Linked DNA regions of Caenorhabditis elegans. Each later gene encodes a partner of the first gene's protein in a complex. Each region holds a gene or a part of one and is shown on either strand. Other genes may lie near its edges. The genes, in order: unc-112 and pat-4.

What was found.
Region 2: unc-112 (region 1) and pat-4 share a complex: the UniProt entries of both Caenorhabditis elegans proteins name them as parts of the integrin containing attachment complex.

Annotation. Positions count from the first base shown.
Region 1 is NC_003283.11:14,688,561-14,700,280, forward strand, and holds unc-112 (Protein unc-112), read right to left. Parts: upstream 8,095-11,720; 5' UTR 8,070-8,094; coding exon 7,987-8,069; intron 7,569-7,986; coding exon 7,504-7,568; intron 6,510-7,503; coding exon 6,242-6,509; intron 6,003-6,241; coding exon 4,825-6,002; intron 4,755-4,824; coding exon 4,351-4,754; intron 3,757-4,350; coding exon 3,592-3,756; 3' UTR 3,302-3,591; downstream 1-3,301. Other genes in the region: C47E8.11 (uncharacterized protein), read left to right, coding at 77-151, 199-360; gasr-8 (uncharacterized protein), read left to right, coding at 594-674, 1,202-1,984, 2,455-2,622, 3,101-3,301; set-5 (SET domain-containing protein), read left to right, coding at 10,410-10,976, 11,549-11,720. UniProt on the Caenorhabditis elegans protein: Component of an integrin containing attachment complex, which is required for muscle development and maintenance. Probable regulator of cell-extracellular matrix adhesion. Required during initial muscle assembly to form dense bodies and M-lines.
Region 2 is NC_003281.10:86,784-99,351, reverse strand, and holds pat-4 (Integrin-linked protein kinase homolog pat-4), read left to right. Parts: upstream 1-4,542; 5' UTR 4,543-4,548; coding exon 4,549-4,644; intron 4,645-5,206; coding exon 5,207-5,512; intron 5,513-6,121; coding exon 6,122-6,218; intron 6,219-6,714; coding exon 6,715-6,860; intron 6,861-7,489; coding exon 7,490-7,745; intron 7,746-8,159; coding exon 8,160-8,253; intron 8,254-8,669; coding exon 8,670-8,928; intron 8,929-9,562; coding exon 9,563-9,709; 3' UTR 9,710-9,899; downstream 9,900-12,568. Other genes in the region: C29F9.9 (DUF4708 domain-containing protein), read left to right, coding at 430-590, 632-749, 802-954; C29F9.8 (G_PROTEIN_RECEP_F1_2 domain-containing protein), read left to right, coding at 2,234-2,238, 2,289-2,433, 2,483-2,569; mrpl-40 (Large ribosomal subunit protein mL40), read right to left, coding at 10,200-10,283, 11,140-11,304, 11,347-11,413, 11,457-11,587, 11,666-11,788; F54C4.4 (NAM-associated domain-containing protein), read left to right, coding at 12,093-12,165, 12,234-12,403, 12,456-12,568. UniProt on the Caenorhabditis elegans protein: Probable pseudokinase that acts as an adapter protein. Component of an integrin containing attachment complex, which is required for muscle development and maintenance.

The DNA.
Region 1 (11,720 bases):
CGTGAACTTTTGAAGAAGCACATTTGAACAGTTTAGATACTCGAGGGAAATTAAACAGTTTTAGTTTATACGAAACATGATTGCAATCTTATTCGAGTTGGCATGTTTCCTGATCTTGGCCAGTGCTGTTTGCTGCATCATTCCAGAACCGGTTTATACATGAGTTGGAGATGAGTTTAATATCTTTTCATGTTTCAGGAAAAGCCATTCAATCCACCTCCACGTCCAAATTTCAATTATAACCTCTGGGATCCTGTCAATGAAGATTTCGAAGGACGCAAGTTGGATGTTCGTTGGTGGAATCCGGAAGAAGAAGATGAAGATGAAATTGTTCCAATCCCACCAAACCTTGCTGTCTAATCTCTCATTTTATTTCTAAAAATAAAAATTTTTCGATAATCGTTTTATGAACATATGCTTATTCTCTTGAAAAATCCGCTTTCCGCGCACGCAAATCTGTTGATGCGTGCTCAAATTGACATCCGTTACCATGCCAACTCTTTCCAACTGCCCTTGAGAAATTGAAAGCAGCTTTACTGAGCTCTTTCTGTGTTCCGGGCTCTCTTTGCAGTCTGTGCTCACTCCTATTAATTATGAAAACGGCAGGGACTTCGCGTGATACGTCTTCTAATATTCAAAACAAGCGAGTTATGAAGAAACCCAAAGCTATCAGGGTATGTATTAAAAGGGATATTCGAAATAAATGTTTTTTTTTCGTTTTTAGGCTTGCAATTTGTTTTCTCTACAGTACTTCAATTTAAAGGCGCATGTAGTTTTTTCTGCTGCTTAATTTTCAAAATACCGCTGAAAACACTTGAAAAATAACCGGAATATACGCAGTTTTTGTGGGTATACACTTTTTCCGTCACCTCTTAACGGAAAACTGTCGGCAACCGGTCTTCCATCTTTCCGCGCGCGTTTTCTCTCATTCTTCAGTTTTGTGTGTGTCAGCGGCATCGACCGAAAACATGCCGTCGATAGCTCAGTTGGTAGAGCGGAGGACTGTAGAGTTTGCAGATATCCTTAGGTCACTGGTTCGAATCCGGTTCGACGGAGTTCTTTTTGTTTCAGTTTTCATCGTAATTTTTTTGGTCGACCAACAGTTTTCTACGGATTGTGTTTCTTGTAATTTTAGCTGTTAAAGCAAAAGCAAAAATCTATTAAAATTACTATATTATCAAAAAATTTGTAACAATTTTAGTCTACATTATCGACCAATGCAGCTTCCCGTCGAAAACCTGCAATAGGATCTGCTGCCAAAAAGAAAGTCCAAGTTGTTGAGCCAATCCAGAATCAGAATGCAGATTCCCGAAAGATAGCTGAAGTTGAGAAAAAATTAAACGCAATTCAAATTACAAAAGACCGCCTGAAAGATCGAGCTGATAAGTTGAGTGGAGAATTGACAAAAACTAGAGTGGAACTGAATGCAGCTCAACAGGAAAGAGGAAGAATTCAACAATTCTGGAGAATAGCTGAAAATGGATTAGGAGAAGAAAGAGAGAGAACAAGAGACGTAGAGAAAAGTATGTTTGATATGAAGACACATCAAGCAACTCATATCCAGAAATTACAACAAAGAATTCGAAGTTTGGTATTTCATGCAAAAATGCATAGAAATGCTGGAACACAGTCAGAAGCAATTGCTCCAAGTGGTGGTCTAGAAAGTGTTGAATGTCAGACAATGGAAGAATTGACAAAAGAGAAAGCAGCGAATATCTTAAGACAATCTGATGATCTTCTAGTAACATTCATTGCGGAGCTTGAAAAAGAGAAGTTAGAAGCTCAAAGTGATTTGAAATATGCAATTGTGCATTTGGAGCAACGAATGAAAGAGGAACAGGAGACACAAATGCAAGCGATGAAAGAAGAAAGAGAAATTGAAATTGAGGAAATTGGATTGAAACATATGGAACAGATAAGGACAATTGAATCTGGAAATAGTGAGCAAACTGCCATGATGCAAGGAAAAATTGATTTCTTGCAGGTAGGAACTCTGAATATTCGATATTTTAGATTTTGCATTTAAAAAATCTAACATTCTGAAATACCACAACAGAAAAAAAATCTCAAAATAGTTAAAATATATGATTTGAATTTCCTCCACAGCGAGAACTGCGACCAATCAACGACTCGCTCCGCCCACGTTTGAACTAATCAGATAAAGTTTGTAACGTTCGAAGATTCTGGTTGGTTCGAAAGCGGGCGTGGCTTCTCGTTTTGGAGGGAATTAAAAACCAAAATTGTCAAATCACACTAAAAATTAATATTTGAAATTTTCCTCTATTTTCATCGTATTTATTCTGTCGTATTTCTGAATTTGAGTCTATTTTGGATATTTTTAAAGCAAAATAAAAACCCCCTGTTTATAACGATATTTGAATCATAAGATCAATTTTTTCAACTAATTTTTATTAAAGTATTAATTCTTCATAAAAACCATCTTCACCATTCCAGAGCGAAGTTTCAAATCTCCGTGATCTACGTGATTCAATATCAGCGGATCTCATTGATAGTCGCGAGAAACTCAAGGATCAAGCCGTCCTACTCGGCCAAAATCAAGCAAACATTGATGAGATGAGCAAAGAAATCGCGAGGCTTCAGGATTACAAGAGGAATTTTCAGGTAAGAAAAGGGATGTACGTATCATTCGTGAAAGTTGCTTGATTTGCTCTGACAAATTGTTTAACTTTAAAAAAAACGTACAAAACTAGTTTGAAAAATAAGAAACAATTCGATTCTAAATCGTGAAAAAACAAATTTATGGGCGAAGACTACATTCAGATATTTTTTGCTGTTGCTTGAAAATTTTGTTTCAAATTTCTTGATACTTCTTGAACATGTTTTCACATGATTTCAATCCGTTTGAAAACAAATTTTTAAATAACGGGATACAAACTTATTTGCTTTTTTTCTATCAAATTTATATTGCCGATATGTTTTGTACTATTGATTTTATATGGTTGAATAGAACAGATTAAGGATTCCTAGGTAGTTAGGTAGGTAGCTAGATAGCAGAACAGTGCCTGCCTGCCTTGTACCTACGTTTGCCTACTACCAGAAAAGATGGAAAATGACTATAATTTCCTGATTATTATTCCAGCGAGATATGCGAAACGTTGAGAATATGAGGAAAGAAGTTGAAAAATACAAGGAACTCAATGATATTGTGATGGGAGAATTTGAAAAACTGGAAAAAGAGCGAGATCAGTTGCTGATTGAAGTTGAACGAAACGTTGGAAGACTAGAAATCAGCAATCAACAAAAATTCGAAAAGCTCGAGGAACGCGGAAGAAGATTTTAAATGTTTATTCATCAGTTTTTATTATTCAATTTTTATAATATTTTTCAATTTTTCTCATACAATTATTATTAATCCATAGATATGAAAAGGCACATAAAACTTTTTTTCGATCCGGTATACTTGTCTTATTAAAACGAAAAATTATTTGGAAGAGGGGAAGGGGGGAAATGAGAAACAAGAAAAATGAAAGAAAACAAATATATATATTGAAATTTTGAAACGAAAAAGATGGAATTGGAGCCTAAAATTAAAATTCTTTGGTTTGCAAAAGATTATAGAAATTTAAATATCTAAGCCCATCCTCCTGTAAGTTTGTGGAAAAGTTCTTCATCAAGATTTTGAGAATGTTCTTTGCTTCGCATTGACAGGAAAATGTATCCACCGATGAACTCGTGAACGACTTTGCAATCAGCGGAAAGTGGCTTGAATTCGATATCCTCATCTTCGAATTGAATCTGGAAATTGGGGAGATAGGATGATAAAATAGTATACTCAAAGAAAAAAAGTAATTAATTTCAAAAAGTTTGTTCTCGGTTATTTTCGGGTTTATCTAAGCCTTTTATGTAGGCACAAAACAGATTTTAAAAATTTATTTCTAAAACGCTCAAGGTGCAACGCTGGCATGTAGGCAAATAGGCATGAAGTCTGCCTACCTTCCTGTCAGCACCAAGTTTACCGAAAAAGTTTCGGTCTTTGAGAACATTATCTGATTTAGATTTTAAATTACCAAAGACCTGAATTTTTTAGTAAGTTACGGCGAATAGACTTATGGATAGAAAACAACAATTGAATCAAAAACGCAATATTATAATTTTTGAAACAATACAAAGATTTTTTGAAAGCCAATTGTTCTTTGTGTTTAGATATACATATTAGGAAAGATTTTGAGATGAAAACGTAATTTCAAGACATCACAAAATAGATTAACAATCAGAAAGTTGTTACAAGAAACTTAGATGAATAGGTCTCGAAAACGTTCTCAACATTTTGCAATTTTTCGATTTCCGATCATGTCCAGATCTTAAATATTTTATTCATCAAAAACTAACCTTGAGATGTCGAATTTCCCAGTTGACATGCCACTTCTTCATATTTGCAAACCTCCATGTCTTCAGACTTTCTCCATTATCCATATTCAATTTTGCAAGTCTATTCACAGCAACAGCCACCAATTCCGCCTTTCTAGCATTTCGGAATCTTACAATGAAATAATGAATTCCGTGTTCGGGAAGTGCTTGCCATGCTCGGATATATTGAAGTTTCGCTTCGGTTGCCGTGAGTTGTCGAACATTTCCATGAGCATCTGATACTCGCTGTTGAATTTGTTGCTTGCTGCGTGCTCGTCGTACGTATTTCGACGATATGTACTCATCAACATTGAAATCATTTGGTAGTTTTACAGCGGCGGCTTTTCGCGAAGCTGTGTTGCTGTTTCCGTTTTCGTTTCCATTACCTGAAAAATTGTTTCATTCGAAGAAAATAATTTCATTATCACTTATTAAATTGTAAAATCAACAACTTACCACTTTGCATCTTGAGCAAGTTTTTGATGCTCTCCACCTCCTGTTGATATGACGAATCAGCCATTGACTTCCCTCTGGATGCTAACCGACACGCAGCCATCCACCTGGCATATTGATGCTCGGAATCGCATTTCAAAATGAAGTCAATCATTCCTTCAGCAGTTGGAAGTAACAATTTGATATGATACTTCTGCTGTCCAACTGAAACATCCTGACTAACTTCACATCCCTTCAATGAGAAGTGTCCAAGTGGAGCTGAGTTGACATCTGAGGAGCTTTGATGATATGATAAATATAAGTCACGGAACGAGAAGAATGCCCGTTTAAATCCTTTGAATGCTGCCAATTTCTTTGGTTTCATATATTTCAAATAATCTGCTAACTCGGGAACTTGTGTAAGATCTGATCGTCTGTTAAGAGCAGCTGCGTCAAGGTTTTGCTCAAGCTCGTCCAAAAGAATATCCACATCATCTTTATTATTTTCTTCAGGTTCAGGAGAATCTCTTTGCAGGGTTGCTTGAAGTTGAAGAGCAGCAAATAGTGTGGCTTCTTCCTCTGTGTGATCGAATTCATCAAGTAAAATGCTCCATTTTGCTTGCTCGTAAAGTTGATTAATTCTCACTGGATCATATTTTGGATTCAAATCAAAGAAATTCATAAATTTGAATCGTAGTAAAATAATATCTCCTTCAAAAATTCCTTGTTCCATAAGTGATCTGCTAGAATCAAGCCATCCTCTATTAATCGCAGCTTTTTCCACATAGTTCTGAGGTCTAAATACTGGAGTATCACGGCTTGGAGCAAGTCTTGGTGAATGAATAAGAGCATCATCAAATTGCTCATTTTCAAGTCCTTCACTAAAACTGATGCTTGGCATAATTGGTGTTCTTCTCATCGTATCGTTATATGCTCCTGGCGATGGACTGACACCACGTGGCAATGTTCCGTGGCGAGGAAGAGTTCCCATTTCGTGAGCATTGAAAATGTGTCCAGATTGGGAGAGCGCGGGTGATTGACCACGACGGCGCATATCAAGATTCGATTGAGAAGCAAAGATTGGAGCAGCTTTACGGAGAGTCATTGGTCCAACTGATTCTTCTCCTGGACGCATTGAGAGTGGACCGTTCATGTTGTCGGCGTCAGATGTTCCACGTCGAAGATCCTCTGGTGGAATATATCTGTAATATTTTAAATTATATGATTTTGAATTATTGGGTTATTTCACATGCTCGGTAGTAGTTAACTTTTGACCTTGCTCAAACTTTTGGGGCAGGATTTCGATCAGGCATAGATTTTCCCTAGTTGCTTAAGATTCCCAAGGATCTTCAATCCTCGTTCAACCAACTAAGGAATTTCACAACTCCATTCTTATTTAAATTAAAAATAAAACATCAAAAACTTCCCAATTCCTACTTACCTCTTCAAAGACAATTCCTCTGAATATCGAATACCCAAATCACGGCACAATTTCTTTGTTGCTTTGAATGAATTTACCGAGAAATCAACTCTCGCATCAATCATTTGCATATCTGGTAACTGAATTCTTGCTTCTTTATGCATTGGTGTGAACTCCAATTGTGTTTCAGCTGTAATTCCATTCTGGTCAAGAGTCGATCGAGTATGTTGAAGCCATCGCCGCTTCTCCGGCCACCACAGAGCATGATCAGACCAATCTCGTTCAACATCTGGAAAAATAGAAATATTTGGAGTTTTTTAGATTCTTGTTTCAATACAGCTGTTTTGTAAATTGTTTGTTCAGCTGAAGCCCAAATGATTACATTTTGAACTTGGAAATTAAACACATTGAGCACACAAATTGTTATACCCTAATGCAGAAAATCTTCATCCCTTCAGCTTCTGCAAGTTCTAAAAATCGCGCGAAAACTTAATTCCAAAACGTTTTTATGCGCCTCTCCTATGCGCCCTTTCTGCTCTTGGTCATGATGAATGCCAGTTGCTTCTCAAGTTTTGATACTCTCTCCTGGGACCCCCTATCATTGTGTGCTCTTATATCTCTGCAAGGAAAGCCTCTAAACTTTATGTACCCAACAGCGAATGTCCCATCCGAAACAATCAGCTTATGTAGATGCGCACGCGTGCACTCGAATAGTCAACATTAACAGGGGTTAGGATGAAAAGAAAAAGAAGAAAGAGAAGAGCAACTGGTAGGAGATGAGAAGAGCCCATAAATATTTGATAGGTTCCGCATAGTTTCTATGATGTTTCAAAATGTATAGAGGACTTCTTGTCAACTATTTCGGAGCTCACAGTCCCTAAAAAATTTCGTGAAGATCTCTCAAAAATTAACTTTTTAATTAAACTGTTTTATTCAAAATACGAATTTTCAGCAAACTTGAAAGAATTGTACGAGAAATTTTTCACTTGGCGCACTCTTCAAGGGCTCCGTTACGATGTGTTTCCAAAAGTGTTCCCTATCTTTCCAGAACATTTTTTTCCAGCAGATTTCAACATTTTCCCATGCCTTCAATTTTTACTGATATTGAACATCATTTCGTAATGGTGCACACACCACGTATCTTTTCGTTGTAACAAACGCGTAGGCGCACACAGTGGCAGATATATCTAACAGATTATATTGAGTAGAAAAGAGAGAAATCATGGTCTATTGAGATCTTTGAGATCTTGACCGAGGTGATAAGATTCGAAAAAAAAACTCACCGCATTCGCTAACAAGTTCGAGCATGAGTCCTCCCACATTAAGATTTCCAAGGACAGAGATGCTTCTGGAAGAAATAAATACATTTATTGGAAATTGGAAGACTCTGAGTTTGAAAATGTCTCATTCATGTTTGGAAAAAAATTTAACCGGAATCTTCTGAAAATTTAGGCTAGGGTTTAGGGTAAGGCTTAAACTTAAGCTTAAGCTTAAACTTAGGCTAGGCTTCGGCGTAGACTTAGGCTTATTCTTATAGTTAGTCGTAGACTTAGACTTAGGCTTGGGCCTAGGATTGGTTTAGGCTTAACCTCAATCCGAGAATAACTCAATTATCACTTATTCTGACAAAATGACTTGAATTCAGAAAATGTGCATTGAATCTTTTTCTATAACTTCCTGCAATTGCAGTTATTTAAGAACAACTGCTAAACATGCAGTACTATTGAAAGTTAATATTTTCTAAATATATAATTTTAAATCCTCACCTTTGAATATTCAAATCGGTGACCAAAATTGGCAATTGCCATTTTCCATCAATAATCGAGGTTCCTTCAACAAGATGTGCCATGTTTGAAGTGATTTAGGTAGAACCACTGAGATATTTTAGTTGTTGGAAAGATTAGCAAATTATAGAAACAGTGTATTTTCTCCGTCCACGGTAGATAGAATAGAAAACAAAAAAAACCGCTTAACAACAATCAACAAATCAATAAAAAAGCTATGTGTGGGAGAATATCAGGTAGAGAGGAACGTGTATACAGAATAAAATAAACGAAAAAAGAGGCTAGAGAACATTGAAGAATGAGAGAATGAGAGAAAAGACTGCCGATGCGGACGAACAAACGGACGGCCGGAGCAGTACACACTCTTCGTCTCTGACTCACAGCAACACCGTCTCTCCGCTTCTTTTCTCACTCTCTATCTCTCTGACTCCCTATCTGTATGTTCCAAAATGCAATGAGAGAGCGAGAGAGAGTGAACAGTTGTAGAAGAGACGGAGAGTTGAAGGACACTCGGCAGGCGGCTACGCGGGAATGGGAAGGAATGACAGTAGGCGATGCTGCTGTAGATGAAGGAAAAGAAGAAGACAACATTACACAAAGAGTCCCGTCCCCCGGCTGGCAGAAAGATTTGGCAGAAGAAGGAGGAGGAAGATGCCAGGAAGCAGCTTCTGAAGGGACATTGGACATGAGAGAGAGAGAGTAAAAGTATAGGATATCACGGGTAGTTGGGTATGAATGGAGAAGTGCAATGAAATGGAGAAAGGTGTATACTAGTTTCTGAATTAGAATATCTGGATAATGTGAACATTTGTGAACAATGTGAACTACGTAGATCAATGGGACACTCTAACACCACGTGTGAAGTTCATACTGTGAACACTTGGTAACCTCGTCTTTTATGGTGCAATTGATAAAAGTTCAGATTTTCCACAAAAGTAACTATCCTTTACAGTATATTAGAAATGGTAGTGAAATTTCAATATGCGCTGACACAAAATGCTAACTTCTTGTCCAAGTCTGGCTCAAAAGAAATATAAACTTGGTACAAAAGTTGCTTATAAAGCGTATGCAAATTTTTTTGGCGGCGTTAAAAATCAAACTTTTTGACCTAATCGTTTTTTGAATCGTTTTAAAGTTATATAAGACATTAACAAGAGTTGGATCAAACTTGAAATAAGCTCAGAAATTTTTTGGACGAAGAATTTGAGCACTGTGTATACGGGAACACAAAACTCTGAGAATGCATAGTGCGCAAAATATCTCGTAGCGAGAACTATATTAATACTTAAAATGACTACTGTAGCGCTTTAGTCGATTTACGGATTTTTGAAATGATTTTCTTTTCGAATAGTGACATCGATATTCATTTTTCTTCGTTTCCTCGTATTAGTTTTTAATTTTCGGCTTAATTTCAATATTCAATCGATAAATCAATGTTTCCGAAATTTAAATCGAAATTTAAAGATGTTAAAGAATTACTGTAGTTTTCCCTACGGGATATTTTTTGTGTCAAGGAATAACCTTGTAGCCATTTAAATCAAACTGATATTTTCAGCTATCACTTAACGTTTCTTTGTTTTTATATCCTATGCAGTATTTCTCGGCACGGCACGACATGTTGTCGCGCGCGACTGACAAAAAAATTAATTGATGACTACGGTAGATTGCGAAGTACGCAGAGGCTTTTGCGTACTTCGCCATAACTTTACGAGCAATTGTTTTCATTGTTTTTCAACAATTGCAATCTTATTTTTGAACTTTTTACTCTGTTTTCTTTAGTTTTTTTGGCCAATATTCGATTTATTTGTTTGAAAATTTATATTAAACGTTGAACATCACGTAAAACTTTTATTTGTGTCGGGTTTCTCCGTGAAAAATTGTACTTCATGATAAAAATAACTTTTAATAGTTTTCAGAGCTAAAGTTCGGCATTTTCCTATGTTTCTGTGTTATAAAATCTTGTTCAAAACAGAGAATTATCAAAAAAAAAATCCCGAAAAAATAGTGGATATTAAAAAAAAATCCGTAGAGTCAGACAATTAAAAAAAATAATTTCCTCGCATTTTCTTCAGTGCCTCTTAAATCATCGAGCAAATTGAAGAAAATGGGCCCAATAACTTCACGAATAAGAATTTTCCTTCCCATTAGAACTATCCGTTTTTCAGTGAAGTGCATATAACTCCAAAATTTCGCATTATCCTTTTAAAAAAAACCAACACAAATTCTACAAATGTTCGAAGAAACGGTTTTTTTTCATCTATTTTCATTCCTGCGCTTAATTTTTGTCATTTTTCTGAAAAAAAAAACCGAAAATCTGGTTTCCTCTATGCTTGCAGGCTTATTTCTATTTTAATCCATATTTTCATTGCCAAAATTAATTTGAAATTTATTCAGATCGCATTATAATGAACCCGAAAAACAAATCATCAACAATCATTTCGAAAAACGTCGAGGAGCTGCTTCCGACACTATTCCCCATCACAGAAGTTCGAAGTTTCGGAAAAAAGTGTCGCAGTATCGAAATTTCGAAATCCTATTTAATCAACAGAGCTCTCGTCTCAAATCTAGACATCGAGCCGGACGAGCCAATTGTGAGGATTCGAGGATTATTGGCATTTCATCATGAACTTCAAGAAGATTCTCGAAATGTGAACTTTCTATTCACATACGGATGTGTCTGTTTGGATGCTCGAGGGACTGGAAATAATCCTGGAAGATTTGTCCGAAGAAGCTGCTTTCCGAATAGTTATCTTAGTTATGAAAGAAACAATACAGAATTCCATATAATTATCAAAGCAAGAGACTTCATTCCATATGGACATGAGATTACTATCGATTTTAATGACGATTTCTTTCCTTTGAATTGTTCATTAAAATGTACTGTGCACTTGGAGGATTCTGAGAATTGTCGACGGGAATGGAAGAGAAAGTATATTCAGAATGATGGTTATTGGAAACCGCCGGAACTCTCTGTATGTTGAAATGTGCCGAATTTAAGAAAATTGCAGAACAATTGGGTTTTACTCCGAAATCCCCACGAAAAACGCCAAGTGTTGGTATTTCACAGAAAAACGAAAATTTTCGATTAAAAATGTCTGAAAAGCTCAATTGGAAAAGCAGAACGGTCTTCTAGACATTTTGAATATGGTACCTTGTTGCATGCATAAGCCGCTTTTGCGGCGAAATTTTCACAACACTTTGCATTTGTAACAGCTTTCACACGTGGTGTTAGGCTGTCTTATTTAATTCTGATCTACAAAAAGTGCGGGAATAGTTTTCCAAAAAAATTGTGACGTCAGCACGCTCTTAACCAGGCGAAATAAGATGAGAAGTCTGCGTCTCTTCTCCCGCATTTTATGAAGATCAAATCAAAATAAGACATTCTGACTCCCCGTGCTTTCAGACATTTTTTTATCGAACATTGTCGGTTTTTTTTCTCACCGTCTGGCAAAACTTTTCGTTTCTGACAGTACAAGCTTTATAAATAAATGAGATTGTCAAAGTCGAGATTTGAAAGTTTGAATCAAACAAAAGTTATTTTCAGATTTCCGCATCTTCAAGCAGCACTTCACAAATCGATCCTGAACCATCAAAAACACCATTTAACGAAGAACAAGAGAAACTACTTAAATCGATTATCAATCAATCAAAAATCATTCCGATGATGCCACGACACACGAAACATCTGTGCCACGTGTTCAAGCAGGAGTTTGGAT
Region 2 (12,568 bases), on another chromosome or scaffold:
GGCCCGCTAGTCGGCAAATTGAAAAAAAATTGGAACCTTCCAACATATCGGAAAACCGGCAAATTGCCGATTTGCCAAATTTGCCGGAAAAGCGGCTAATTTTGGTTTTGCAATTTTTTTTTGGAACTTTCAGATTTTATCTATAATCTGCAAAATTGTAGGCATCCTATAAATGCTCCTACATCTTTTTTGAAAAGTAAGAAAATTCTACGAAATTATGGGAAGAAAGCAGGAAACCTCTAAACACTTCCGGCAAAATGATGTTCGACAAACCGGCAATTTGCCGAAAATAAAAATTTCCGGCAAATCGGCAAACCGGAAATTTGCCGAATTTGTCGACCAAAACATTTGCCAAACGGCAATTGCCACCCACCGCCTGGTTCAGGTCTGTGGTCCTGACTCTGACTTAAGCTTAGACTCTCTAAAGATATGAACAAATTTCAGCACTCCACCACTGACCTACCTCCAAAGCCAGCTAGACTTCTGGGCTTCCTACCTAGAAGAAAACCTCCGAAGGTTGGTAGCGCTCTTCGGAGCCGACGCTGCGCGGCACCTCGCGACACTATAGCTGTGTGCGGGGCGTGGCGAGAGTAAGGCCTACGTCATTTAACCACCTAAAATTTTTTTTCAGGTGCTTTGGCTTCCCTGCAAACTACAGCCAACCCCAGTTCTACTCAACTATTGAAGAATACTCTAATCACACTTCTGTCGTGTATGTTCTTTATAACACATGTGATGGAGTTGTTAAGGTTTGGAGTTTTTCAGCTACCTAATTTTTTTTTTTGCAGTCAGAAATTTCAGGTTTTCCTTACAATAGCCTTTCCAGCACTTACCTTTTTTGCTACAGCAGCAGCTGAAATACGTCAGAGAAGTCCGTCGGAAGAGCTCGGCGAGCATGGGAAAAAACGCGGAAAAGTAGGTAAATTTTGTATTATTTCTGACTCACAAAACTAAATCCCAATGGCAATTACATTTGTGGCACTAGAAAGACCCGTTGGTATCCTGTACAGCTGCGGGGTTTTGCAGGGCAAGCTGGAATGGTGTAAGTTTTTTGTCTGTAGCAGTGCACACCTTTATAAGCTGAGCTTTCAGAAATATAGTCTACAATTTCCTGGACATTTTCACGATTTTCGTGCCAATTAACGCGATTCTCCACTGCCTTCTCTGCCTTGGAGTGAAACTAGCGGGCCCTATGGGGCCCGCTAGTCGGCAAATTGAAAAAAAATTGGAACCTTCCAACATATCGGAAAACCGGCAAATTGCCGATTTGCCAAATTTGCCGGAAAAGCGGCTAATTTTGGTTTTGCAATTTTTTTTTGGAACTTTCAGATTTTATCTATAATCTGCAAAATTGTAGGCATCCTATAAATGCTCCTACATCTTTTTTGAAAAGTAAGAAAATTCTACGAAATTATGGGAAGAAAGCAGGAAACCTCTAAACACTTCCGGCAAAATGATGTTCGACAAACCGGCAATTTGCCGAAAATAAAAATTTCCGGCAAATCGGCAAACCGGAAATTTGCCGAATTTGTCGACCAAAACATTTGCCAAACGGCAATTGCCACCCACCGCCTGGTTCAGGTCTGTGGTCCTGACTCTGACTTAAGCTTAGACTCTCTAAAGATATGAACAAATTTCAGCACTCCACCACTGACCTACCTCCAAAGCCAGCTAGACTTCTGGGCTTCCTACCTAGAAGAAAACCTCCGAAGGTTGGTAGCGCTCTTCGGAGCCGACGCTGCGCGGCACCTCGCGACACTATAGCTGTGTGCGGGGCGTGGCGAGAGTAAGGCCTACGTCATTTAACCACCTAAAATTTTTTTTCAGGTGCTTTGGCTTCCCTGCAAACTACAGCCAACCCCAGTTCTACTCAACTATTGAAGAATACTCTAATCACACTTCTGTCGTGTATGTTCTTTATAACACATGTGATGGAGTTGTTAAGGTTTGGAGTTTTTCAGCTACCTAATTTTTTTTTTTGCAGTCAGAAATTTCAGGTTTTCCTTACAATAGCCTTTCCAGCACTTACCTTTTTTGCTACAGCAGCAGCTGAAATACGTCAGAGAAGTCCGTCGGAAGAGCTCGGCGAGCATGGGAAAAAACGCGGAAAAGTAGGTAAATTTTGTATTATTTCTGACTCACAAAACTAAATCCCAATGGCAATTACATTTGTGGCACTAGAAAGACCCGTTGGTATCCTGTACAGCTGCGGGGTTTTGCAGGGCAAGCTGGAATGGTGTAAGTTTTTTGTCTGTAGCAGTGCACACCTTTATAAGCTGAGCTTTCAGAAATATAGTCTACAATTTCCTGGACATTTTCACGATTTTCGTGCCAATTAACGCGATTCTCCACTGCCTTCTCTGCCTTGGAGTGAACACTTTGTACCGGAAAACTGTGGGGAGGATGTTTTGTGGTGAAGAGGTGGCCAGGAAGGTTAGATTTTTAGATTTGCTGAATTTTCCAAGTAAGTTTAATATTTCAGACCTCGAAGTCAGTGTCCCCCCATTCATCAACTTTGGTAGCTTTGGAGCTCGTATTTCTGGATATTTTTGAATATAACACATTGTAACTGTTATGCTATAGAGTAAAAGATAATAAACATATCGTCAGCTGGCAACTTATTTACACGAGGTGCCAGGCTGTCCCATTACGGTTTGATCTACAAAAAATGCGGGAATTTTTAGCTCGAAAAAATGTGACGTCAGCACGTTGCTAAATCAGTTGAGAACACTCTGCGGCTCTTCTCTCGCATTTTTTGTAGAAGATCTACGTAGATCAAACCGAAATGGGACACTCCGACTCCCCCCGCTGGAATTGTCAGAAAATCAATAATTTTCTACGCAACCCTCCCGGTCCCCAAAATCCTTGGCATCATCATCATCAATGCTCAGTTTCCATCCGAGAATCGTGTTACAACATCCGTCCCTGCTTCTCTGCGTCTCCTATCTCTCTCCATATCTCTTTATCTCTAACTCACACGACTCCCACGGGAACCAAATCTCTGCGTCTCTCACTGCATTTCACACTCTCTCTCCCCCGTCTCTTCTCTTTCTCTCAAATGTTCTTGAATACCTTCTTCCGATGAGCTTCTCGCCCCCTCAAAACCAACTCAATTTTATGATATACTTTCTAGTGATATGATATTCCGTTATTTTTCTGCCACGTGGCAAAATTTTGGGATGTTAGGCCACGTTAGGCCCTTTCTTGGCTGTTTTGGGAAAAGCGTCTGAAAATGGTTTTTTGTCTGAAAAACGTCATTGAATTTTAGTGCTGCAATTGTGAAGTGGTAACTTTGTTAAGCTTCACAATTTTTCGTTATGCTCCGGGTTCAGGTATTTTGTAAACCCAGTCTTTGAGAAGAAAATTGCTAAAAAAACTTGGGTCCCGCCACGAAAACGCTAGGAATTTCAAGAGTTTTTACAGGAATTGATACATAACTTTTCAGTGCTGTAGAGGAAAAATTTACAGATCTTTTGGGCACAAAAATGTGCGATGGGGGCTTTGAAATAACGTGAAAATTTTTTTTGAATTACTTTTTTAATCAAAAAAGTCCTTTGGAATATTGGGGTTTTTTAAAGCTTTTTTAGCAAATTTATACTATTCTGAAAACCCTTAAACTGCTTAATTTAATGAAACTAGGTATAACTTTGTCGAACTATTTTCAGCCAAGTTACAGTAATTCTTCTGAAACTCGCTGCGGAGCTTCAGAGCAAAAATTACGATTTCCTCAAAATTTTTAAGAGAAAGTTACCATAAATTAATATTTTTCTGATGGCTCGGAAATTTTCCTATTCAAATTTTGAATTTTCAAGACCAGAAGCTCGTTTTCAGCCAAATTTTAGAGCTTTTTCAGGAGTTAGCTGTGAAAGGTAAAATTGGAAAATGTCCTAGAAGCGAATTTGCCGGTTTTTTGATAAAAATTTTCAGGCAAAATCCAGGCAAATTTGTACTTTTCTGAAAGCCCGAATTCTCATCTTTTCAAATTCTTAGCATTCAAGACCAGAAGCTCATTTCAAGCGAAGTTTCAGAGCTTTTTCTGAGCCAACCTCTAGACGACGGAATGGTCAACGAAAAGATATCCCACAATCGCTTGCCGTTTGTTCTCTGCGCGGGATACTACTCCCTCTCCACAATACATACATTTACAACAAATTTCGTCTTGTTCTCTGCGTCTCCTACATAGTCCTCTACTATCTCGCCTGGCCAGCGGGGGAACAATGTTGACCCCCCCCCCCCCATGCCGTCGCCTCAGCAAAATTCTACTGCTTTCTGTTGTACTTATTGCATTGTTTATTTGTCTATGTCTCTTATATCTAACTTTTTTGGCTTGAAATTATAGATTCCGGGCTTCATGGGGCCCGGGAAAAAGTTGGAAAAATTGAGAAAATTTGGAAATTTTTGGAGATTTTTATTGATTTTTTAATAGTTTTTTTCTTCAATTTTCACCGATTTTTTTTGTTGTAATTTTACATGTTCCTGCTCAATTTTTCTTGATTTTTTCAAATTTTACACTATTTCACACGTAAAACCTTATATTTCCAGTCAACAATGTCTTTGTCGACTCATTACCATGCGCACAAGCCAAATGTGCCCATTATAATGGAGGATGTGTTTGGATGGGTCCGCGAGGGTAACGCTTTTCAGGTGAGTTTTGTAAATATTTTTATGGGGTTAGGCTCGATGAGAGCTTTTGAAAAAGTATAATTTTGTATAGGTTTTTGAAAAAAAAAATTTGGAAAAAAATTGAAAATGTTTGGAAATTATTTTTTTTAATTCTAGAAAAATTCAAATTTTTTCGCTGAAAAGTGGGCGGAGCGTATATGAATTTATACTTTTTTGAAAGTTAATGTTTTTCCTCAATTAAAAAAATTTAAATTTAAATCCGAAATTCTGAGATTTTCTAAAAAAAAAATTCATTAAAAATTTTTTTTTTTTAAATTTAAATTCCTATTTAAAATGGCGGAGCTTATACAAATTTATACTTTTCTAAAAGTTAAAATTAAGCTGAATTTGAAAAAAATTGTTGCCAATTTGAAAAATCAAGTTTAAAGCTAGATTTTAAGCTTAAATCTGGAATTTCCGGTAATTTTTGTCCGATTTTTCTTTTCATGCTAACTTGATCAACTTTCACCGAAATTGTCCAATTTTTTTGCAGAGGATTTATCACAATCCTTACTATAGACTAAGACTACTATCAAAATTTCAGGTCCGCGTCTGGTTGGACGATCACGAGCACGATCTCAACGTCGGAGACGATCACGCCTTCTCACTGCTCCACTGGGCCGCGAAGGGCGGCCACGTGGCGATTGCAGAGATGCTCCTGTCACGTGGAGCACGTGTAAACTCTACGAATATGGGAGATGACACGTCATTGCATTTGGCGGCCGCCCATGGACACCGACAAATTGTGGTGAAGCTTTTGTCGAGAAAAGCCGATGTTAACGCTACCAACGAGCACGGAATGACTCCACTGCATTATGCTTGCTTTTGGGGATATGAACAAATTGCTGAGGTGATTTTATTGATAAATTCGAATAGAGCTTGTTTAGAGCTTCAAAATAAGTATAAACTCGATTGGGAAAATTTTTTGGGAAAATTGGAAAAAAATGATTTTTCAAAAAATTCAGAAAATTTTTTTTCCAAATTTTCGAATAAGTTCTTCTCGGAAAGTTTTAATTTCGCAATGAAAATGTATAGTTTAGGTGAAATTATTTTTATAATCAAATATAACTAGATTTGAGCTTTAATAAATGTATAAATTCATAAAGGATGCGCCCACTTTTGACCAAAAATTTTGAGCTTTTTTTTGCCGGAAAAAATTTCTGAAAAAAAAATCATTTTTTCAACACTTTATAACTTTGGAAGTTTTTTGGCTATTTTTTTTTATGTTTTCATACTTGCGTCCTAAATATTTTAAAATTTCAATTTATTATACCAAAAACACAAAAAGTCCCTATTTACAGTAGCCCCTGGGAGTTTTCGTGGCGGGACCCAAAAATTTATCGAAAATTTGTAGAATTTTCAAAACCCGGGCATGATTATACTTTTTTGAAAGCTCTTAACAAGCTGAATTTGAATTTGTTAATAATTACCTTGATTTCTTGCAAAATAACAACTTCAGGACCTAATCTCCTGCGGCGCCGCTGTCAACGTGTGCAACAAGAAGGGAATGACCCCACTGGACGTTTGCCAGCCAATGTGCAAAAACACTATTTTGGGTAAGTTTTTTGTGCATTTTAATCTGAAAATTGAATTTTTTTAGTCGGAAAACATATAGATAAGATTTTTAGAAGAAAAAATGCATTTTTTGAAAAAAAAAACATTTTTCAACATTTTTACAACTTTTCAAAAACTCATAACTTTTTAGTTTTCAAGCGATTCGATTTAATTTAACGTTAAAATAAGTCTAAAAGATCAAGCTTTTTGGTAAATTAACTTAAAAAATTGAAAAACATAAACTACAGTAACCCTATAAGTTTTCGTGGTGAGACCCAAAAATTCTGAAGTCTTCTGGGCAATGCTCATTTTGTGTGGAGCCTGGGCATGATTATACTTTTCAGAAAGCTCTTGGTGAGCAAAATTTAATTTTGATACTTAAAAATAATGTGTACAAAAATTTAATGTTTTTTTCAGCAAAGACTTTTGACTCGCAAAAAGTTTTTTTTTTGGGATGACTTTTTTCTAATAAATTTTTAAATTATCGATTTTTTCTAGAAATTGCTCAAGAACATGGACAATCTCCAAATGACCGTGTACCATTCAAGGATACCACATGGAAGGGTACAAAGTCCCGTACTCGGGACGCCACACTGTCCCGCTACACCGGAGTCGACGTCTCCTCGCTGAATTTGATCACTAAAGTGGGTTATAGATTTTTTCAGTGGAAAATAACTTAAAAATTCAAATTCAGCGTAAAAAATTAGTTTCAATCGTTGAAGGATGGGAATTTTCCGCGAATTTCGAAGTTTCTGAAAAAATTCGAAAAAAAAAATTTTTTAAGGAAAATTTTCAAACATTGAAAAAATCATAACTTTGACTGTTTTTGAGATTTTCAGCCGGTTTTAACCTCAAAATATGCACAAAAACTTGTTCTACGTCAATAAAATATTAAAATACTGTATTGACACAAAACAGCTTAACACTATGGATTTTCGCGGTGGGACTCAAAAACTCGTCGAAAATTGGAACCCGCTACGTAAACTTCCAGAATTCACTTACCGTAGTGTATATTATTATTTAATATAAATAATACTGTTTTTCAATATTTTATACGTGTTTTATGTCAAAAATCTGCAAAAAATCTTAAAAATTGGCAAAGTTATTAAGATTTGAAATGTTTGAAAAAAAAACTTCATTTTCGAAATAAAAATTTTTTTTGACCTGAGTAAATGTATACTTTTCTGAAAGTCTAGATCAAGATGAACTTGATAAGCTACCTCAAACTTTAAAAATCCCAAAAATTTCCAGCTTAACCCCCACTCTGTTACAGATCGCTGAATCACACTCCGGAGAACTGTGGCGTGGAAAATGGCAGGGCAACGATATTGTGGCGCGAATTTTGAATGTTCAAGAAGTGACCGCCCGTATCTCACGTGACTTCCAGACCGAGTTTCCGGCTCTTCGTATTTTTGCTCATCCGAATATTTGTGCGGTGCTCGCCGCGGCTAACCAGCCACCGAACTTGGTGATCATCTCGCAGTACATGCCATTTGGAAGCCTGTATAACGTGCTCCACGAGCAAAGTTGTGAGTTTTGAAGGTTTTCATTGAAAAGGGCGCAAAAATTAGTCCTAGAAAATGTTTTGAAAATTTTTTTTTTTGATTTCGAAAAAGTAGAAAAAAATTTTTTTTTGATAAATTTTTTTTTTTCAAAATTTGTACTTTTCCCAATTTTTGAGATTTTTTGTTAAAATACTGCGCACAGATAACTCAAAAAATTGTCTTTTTAGTAAAATTATCAATATCATATTAGATAACTTATCTACAGTAACCCAACAGTTTTCGTGGCGAGACCCAAAAATTCTCGAATTCATGCTAAAATGGCCGGAGCCTAGGCATGATTATACTTTTCTGAAAGCTCTTAACGAGATCTATTAGATTTTGACATTAATTTGTGAAAAATCGCTGAAATAATTTAATAAAATCAATAAAATATTGCAGCTGTCGTCATTGATCACGGGCAAGCCGTCAGATTCGCGTTGGACATTGCTAGAGGAATGAGCTACTTGCACAGTTTGGACCCTATGCTTTTGAGGTTAGTGTGGTTGAATGGAGCTTAAAAAGAGCTCCCAGAAAAGTATAAATTTTTATAGGCTCCGCCCATTTTTCTGGCGGGAAAATTTGAATTTTATGTTTTTAAAAAAATTTGGATTTTTTTTTCCAAATTTCAAAAGTTCATAACTTTTTTAGTTTTTGATACTTTCAAACGGTTTTTGGCTTAAAATGTGCCTGAAATAATGTTCTTCGAAAAGTAGCTACAACAAAAATTTTCAAAAATTGTTTTCAGGAATCCAAGAGTTTTTGGGGCACTACTCGAAAAAAAACTTAAAAAAAATTTTTTTTTTTTTTTTTTTTAATTTTTTAATTTTCCCCCCATTTTTTTACGTTTCTTAACTAATTTTAGAGTTTCAGATAATTTAAGCTATCATAAGCCTAAAGCCCAGTTTCCAGGTTCTACCTCTCCTCCAAACACGTTGTAGTCGACGAGGAGCTCACCGCCAAACTCTCAATGGCAGATACGAAATTCTCGTTCCAAGAGGTCGGAAAAGCCTATTCGCCTGCCTGGATGAGCCCAGAAGCCTTGTCACGGGCTCCAGAAGACTTGAATATTAGAGCTGCCGATATGTGGTCATTTGCTATATTGTTGTGGGAGCTGAACACTCGTGAGGTCCCATTCTCTGATCTACCGCCAATGGAATGCGGAATGAAGGTAAGGGAGGGTTTTTGGAGGGCTGAAAGTGTGAAAAATGATGTTAAAATCCTAAAATTAATCTATCAGTTAATTTCGGATGAAATTTTGGAAAAAAATTTTTTTTTGGCCCAAAAAAAATTGTTTTTCTATTATTTTTTTCAAAAGTGTTCATTCTTAAATTCAAACTCAGAAGCTCAAAACAGGCCGTGACAACATTTTTTAGCTCGTTTGGGCTCAATGTCGTAAGATTCGGTGTTTGCGTACTTCCGAGACTACAGTACCCCGAAAGCCCTGAAAATGGAATAGAAACGTCTAGTAACGACTGACCACGCTCAAAATTTTGCGAGAAATTCGAATTGAACCACAGTTTGTTGACATTTTGAGATAAAATCAAAATTTTTTTCTGAAATTTTGTCAAAAAATTCGAATTTCTTCGTATAATTTTGATCAAATATAATTTTTATCAAAAAATTTGAATTTCCCGTCACTTTCTACCTCAATAAACTCAAAAAACTCATTTTCCACCGCTTTTCTGCAAGTCGTCGTCAGATTCAGTGTTTGCGTACTTTTAGGGTTACAGTACCCCTTACACCTCCAAAATCAGCGTTTCCAGACCCAAATTTCACGCTGAATCCAAATTTATTAATTTCAGATCGCTCTGGAAGGTCTCCGAGTGCACATTCCCCCTGGAATCGCCCGTAATATGAACCGTTTGATGAACATTTGCATGAACGAGGACCCGGGACGTCGGCCAAACTTTGATCAAATCATTCCGATTTTAGAGAGAATGATATTATGATTTATCGATTTTGCTTTTCTAATGTTTTCAACAATTTTTTTAAAATTCAATTTATCAAAGCTTTACATCAAAAGTGCCTGCTCCTTGTCCAGCCCCATCGCATTTTCCGTCTATATATTAATTTTAAATGTTAAACTGTCAAAAAAAATTGCTCAATTTATGAAAAAATCAATAAAATCTTATGAAATGTAAGGATTACTGTACGCAAACACTCTTCGACAAAAAAGTTCGCTGCAGTAAGTTTCATGTATCCAAATAATCAGTTGCCAAAAATTTGCACGTGTAGCCTAGTGGCTAGTGACCTCGCCCGCCAATCACAGGGCCTGGGTTCGATCCCCGCAGTGGCAAATTTATTTTTTCCAGCTCGGTTTCACTGAAATTTTTAGTTTTTTCCATAAAAATCGATAATTCCTTTATTAATGCGTCATCCTATGTCACTGTCTACAACAAAAATACCCATAAAACACATAAAAATCAACAATTTTCGGCTCTAAGATGCCCAATTTCTCGTAGTATCAATGTAGTCGCCGTCCGGAGCCTCGTAGTTTCGAATGGGCGGAGTCAGTGAGGGTCCCTGTAAGAAATTTTAAAGGATTTTTCGGAATTTTTTAATTTTTAGAAAAAAAAATTTGGAAAATTCCAGGTTTTTTAAAAAAATTTTTTAACCAATTTTCGGAATTTTTCGCAAAATGTCAGTGAGTTTTCAGATTTTTCTAATAAATTTCGGTATTTTTGACATTTTCTCAAGATTTTACATGTTTTTTGGGAATTTTTAACATTTTCTGAAATTTTAAGCATTTTTTTTCGAATTTCTAGCAATTTTTCAGATTTTTAGCGAAATTTTTGGTATTTTTACGACAATTTTCAGGGATTTTTCAAAATTTTCCCGATTTTTAGGTAATTTTTTTGGATTTTCGGATTATTTGGGGGAATTTTTACATTTTTTGCAATTTTTCGAGAAAAAATTTGAAAATTTTTGGGGGATTTTACAGATTTTTAAAGGTTTTGTCGCAAAACTTCTGTGCTTTTTCAGCAAAAACCGGTATTTTTGTGTATTTTCCGAAATTTTTGGATTTTCTCGAAATTTCCGGGGATATTTCAATTTTTTAGTGAATTTTTTCAAAATTTCCGCAAAAATTTTAGAGATTTTTTAGAAAGTTTTTTTTTTTGAATGATTATTTGGGAATTTTGAAACTTTTAGAAAAAAAAAGTCGAAAATTCCAGGTTTTTCCAGATTTTTGGCAAAATTTTCAAGATTTTACTAATAAATTTCGGTATTTTTGACATTTTCTCAGGAATATTTAAACATTTTCTAAAATTTTGGGCATTTTTCCGAATTTCTAGCAATTTTTAAGATTTTAATGAATTTTCGTGAGTTTTTCGGGTTTTTCATCAATTTTTTGACCATTTTTCTTCAATTTCTCCGCTACCTGAACAATAAGCGGTAAATCCTTGGCTGCTGGCTGTACAGCCGCCTCGTAGAGCTCCAATTTGAGCATTTTCAGCTCATTTAGAGCTTTTCTCTGCGATTCGATGGCTCCACGAATCCACGCGTCATCCTCCTGCTGCAAAGCCAACCGGGAGCGTGTATAATCCTGAAAATCCACGGATTTGAAGCGAAATTCTCAGATTTTTACCTTCAGAGCGATGGCTCGTTCGTCAATTTGCTCCAAGGTGAGCTCGGTGCGTGGGCGGCGGCGTTCTCTGTAAGAATTCCGAGTTTTTAGGCAGAAAATCGCTGAAAAACCCGATATTTTTCGCGGATTTCACGTCCAAAGTGAGCTCATCCACTGGTTTCGGCTTTTTCGAGTGCTTTTGCATCTGACGAATATCCTTTTCCAGCCGTTTTCTGCGTCGGGTCTCTCGCTGCTTTGCTACCTGGAAAATTTTTGAATTTTTTCTCAATTTTTATTAAATTTCCCGTTTTATTCAATGAGTAACTGTAATTTTCTCTACCTCCGGATCAATTTTCTTCTGTCTTTTCATAAAAACCGAGGAGCCGGCGGGAATTGTTTGATGAATTTGGCGGGTTTGAAGTAGGGAGAGCCGGGAGAGGCTCGCAAGCAGGCTGGAGCTCATTTTACCTGGAAAAATTGGAATTTGAAGTGATTTTACATCAAAATCATCAAAATTCTGAAGAAAATAGTCGAAAAAACCAAGGAAACCTCCTAAAAATCAACAAAAACAATAAAAATTTAATAAAATAAATTCCCAAACGACACTCCGCTATCCCACCCCCACGCGTTGTTCACCGTAAATCTACACAAGCTCCGTCTCTCACTTCCCCACACTCTCTCGTCGTCCCTAATCGATTTTCGGACAATTTTCCGCGTTTTTATTGACAATTTTTGAGTTTTAATAAGGATTTGGCAGCTAAAACACTATGGAAACCATTTTCGAAGACGAGGAGACCATGATGGCTGCTGAGCAGAGTTCTTCAGGGATTTCTGCCAATTGTGAGTTTTTTATCAAATTTTTATTAAAATTCAGGTTTTTTTTCAAATAAAATCGAATTTTTTTTCAGCAAATAGCAACTGTAGTGCATCGAAAACCGAAAAAGCGTCGAAAAAACCGAAAAACGCCATTCCAAAAGTCAAAAACTCTGGAATTCACAAGAAACCCGCCAAATCGGACTTTGACGAGTTTCTGAGCAGCATGAAGAGCCGATTATCTCAAGCTACCAGTATGAAAAGCGTACGTTTTTTAGAAAAATAAAATTTCCAACCTAAAAGCCGATTTTTTACAGAATAAAGAGCAACTCAAGATGTTAGAGGAGACGCAGAAGCTTATTTTCGATAGAATCACAAAGTCAGCCGATGCGCGGGATATGGAACATTTGGAGAAGCAAATGAATAAACT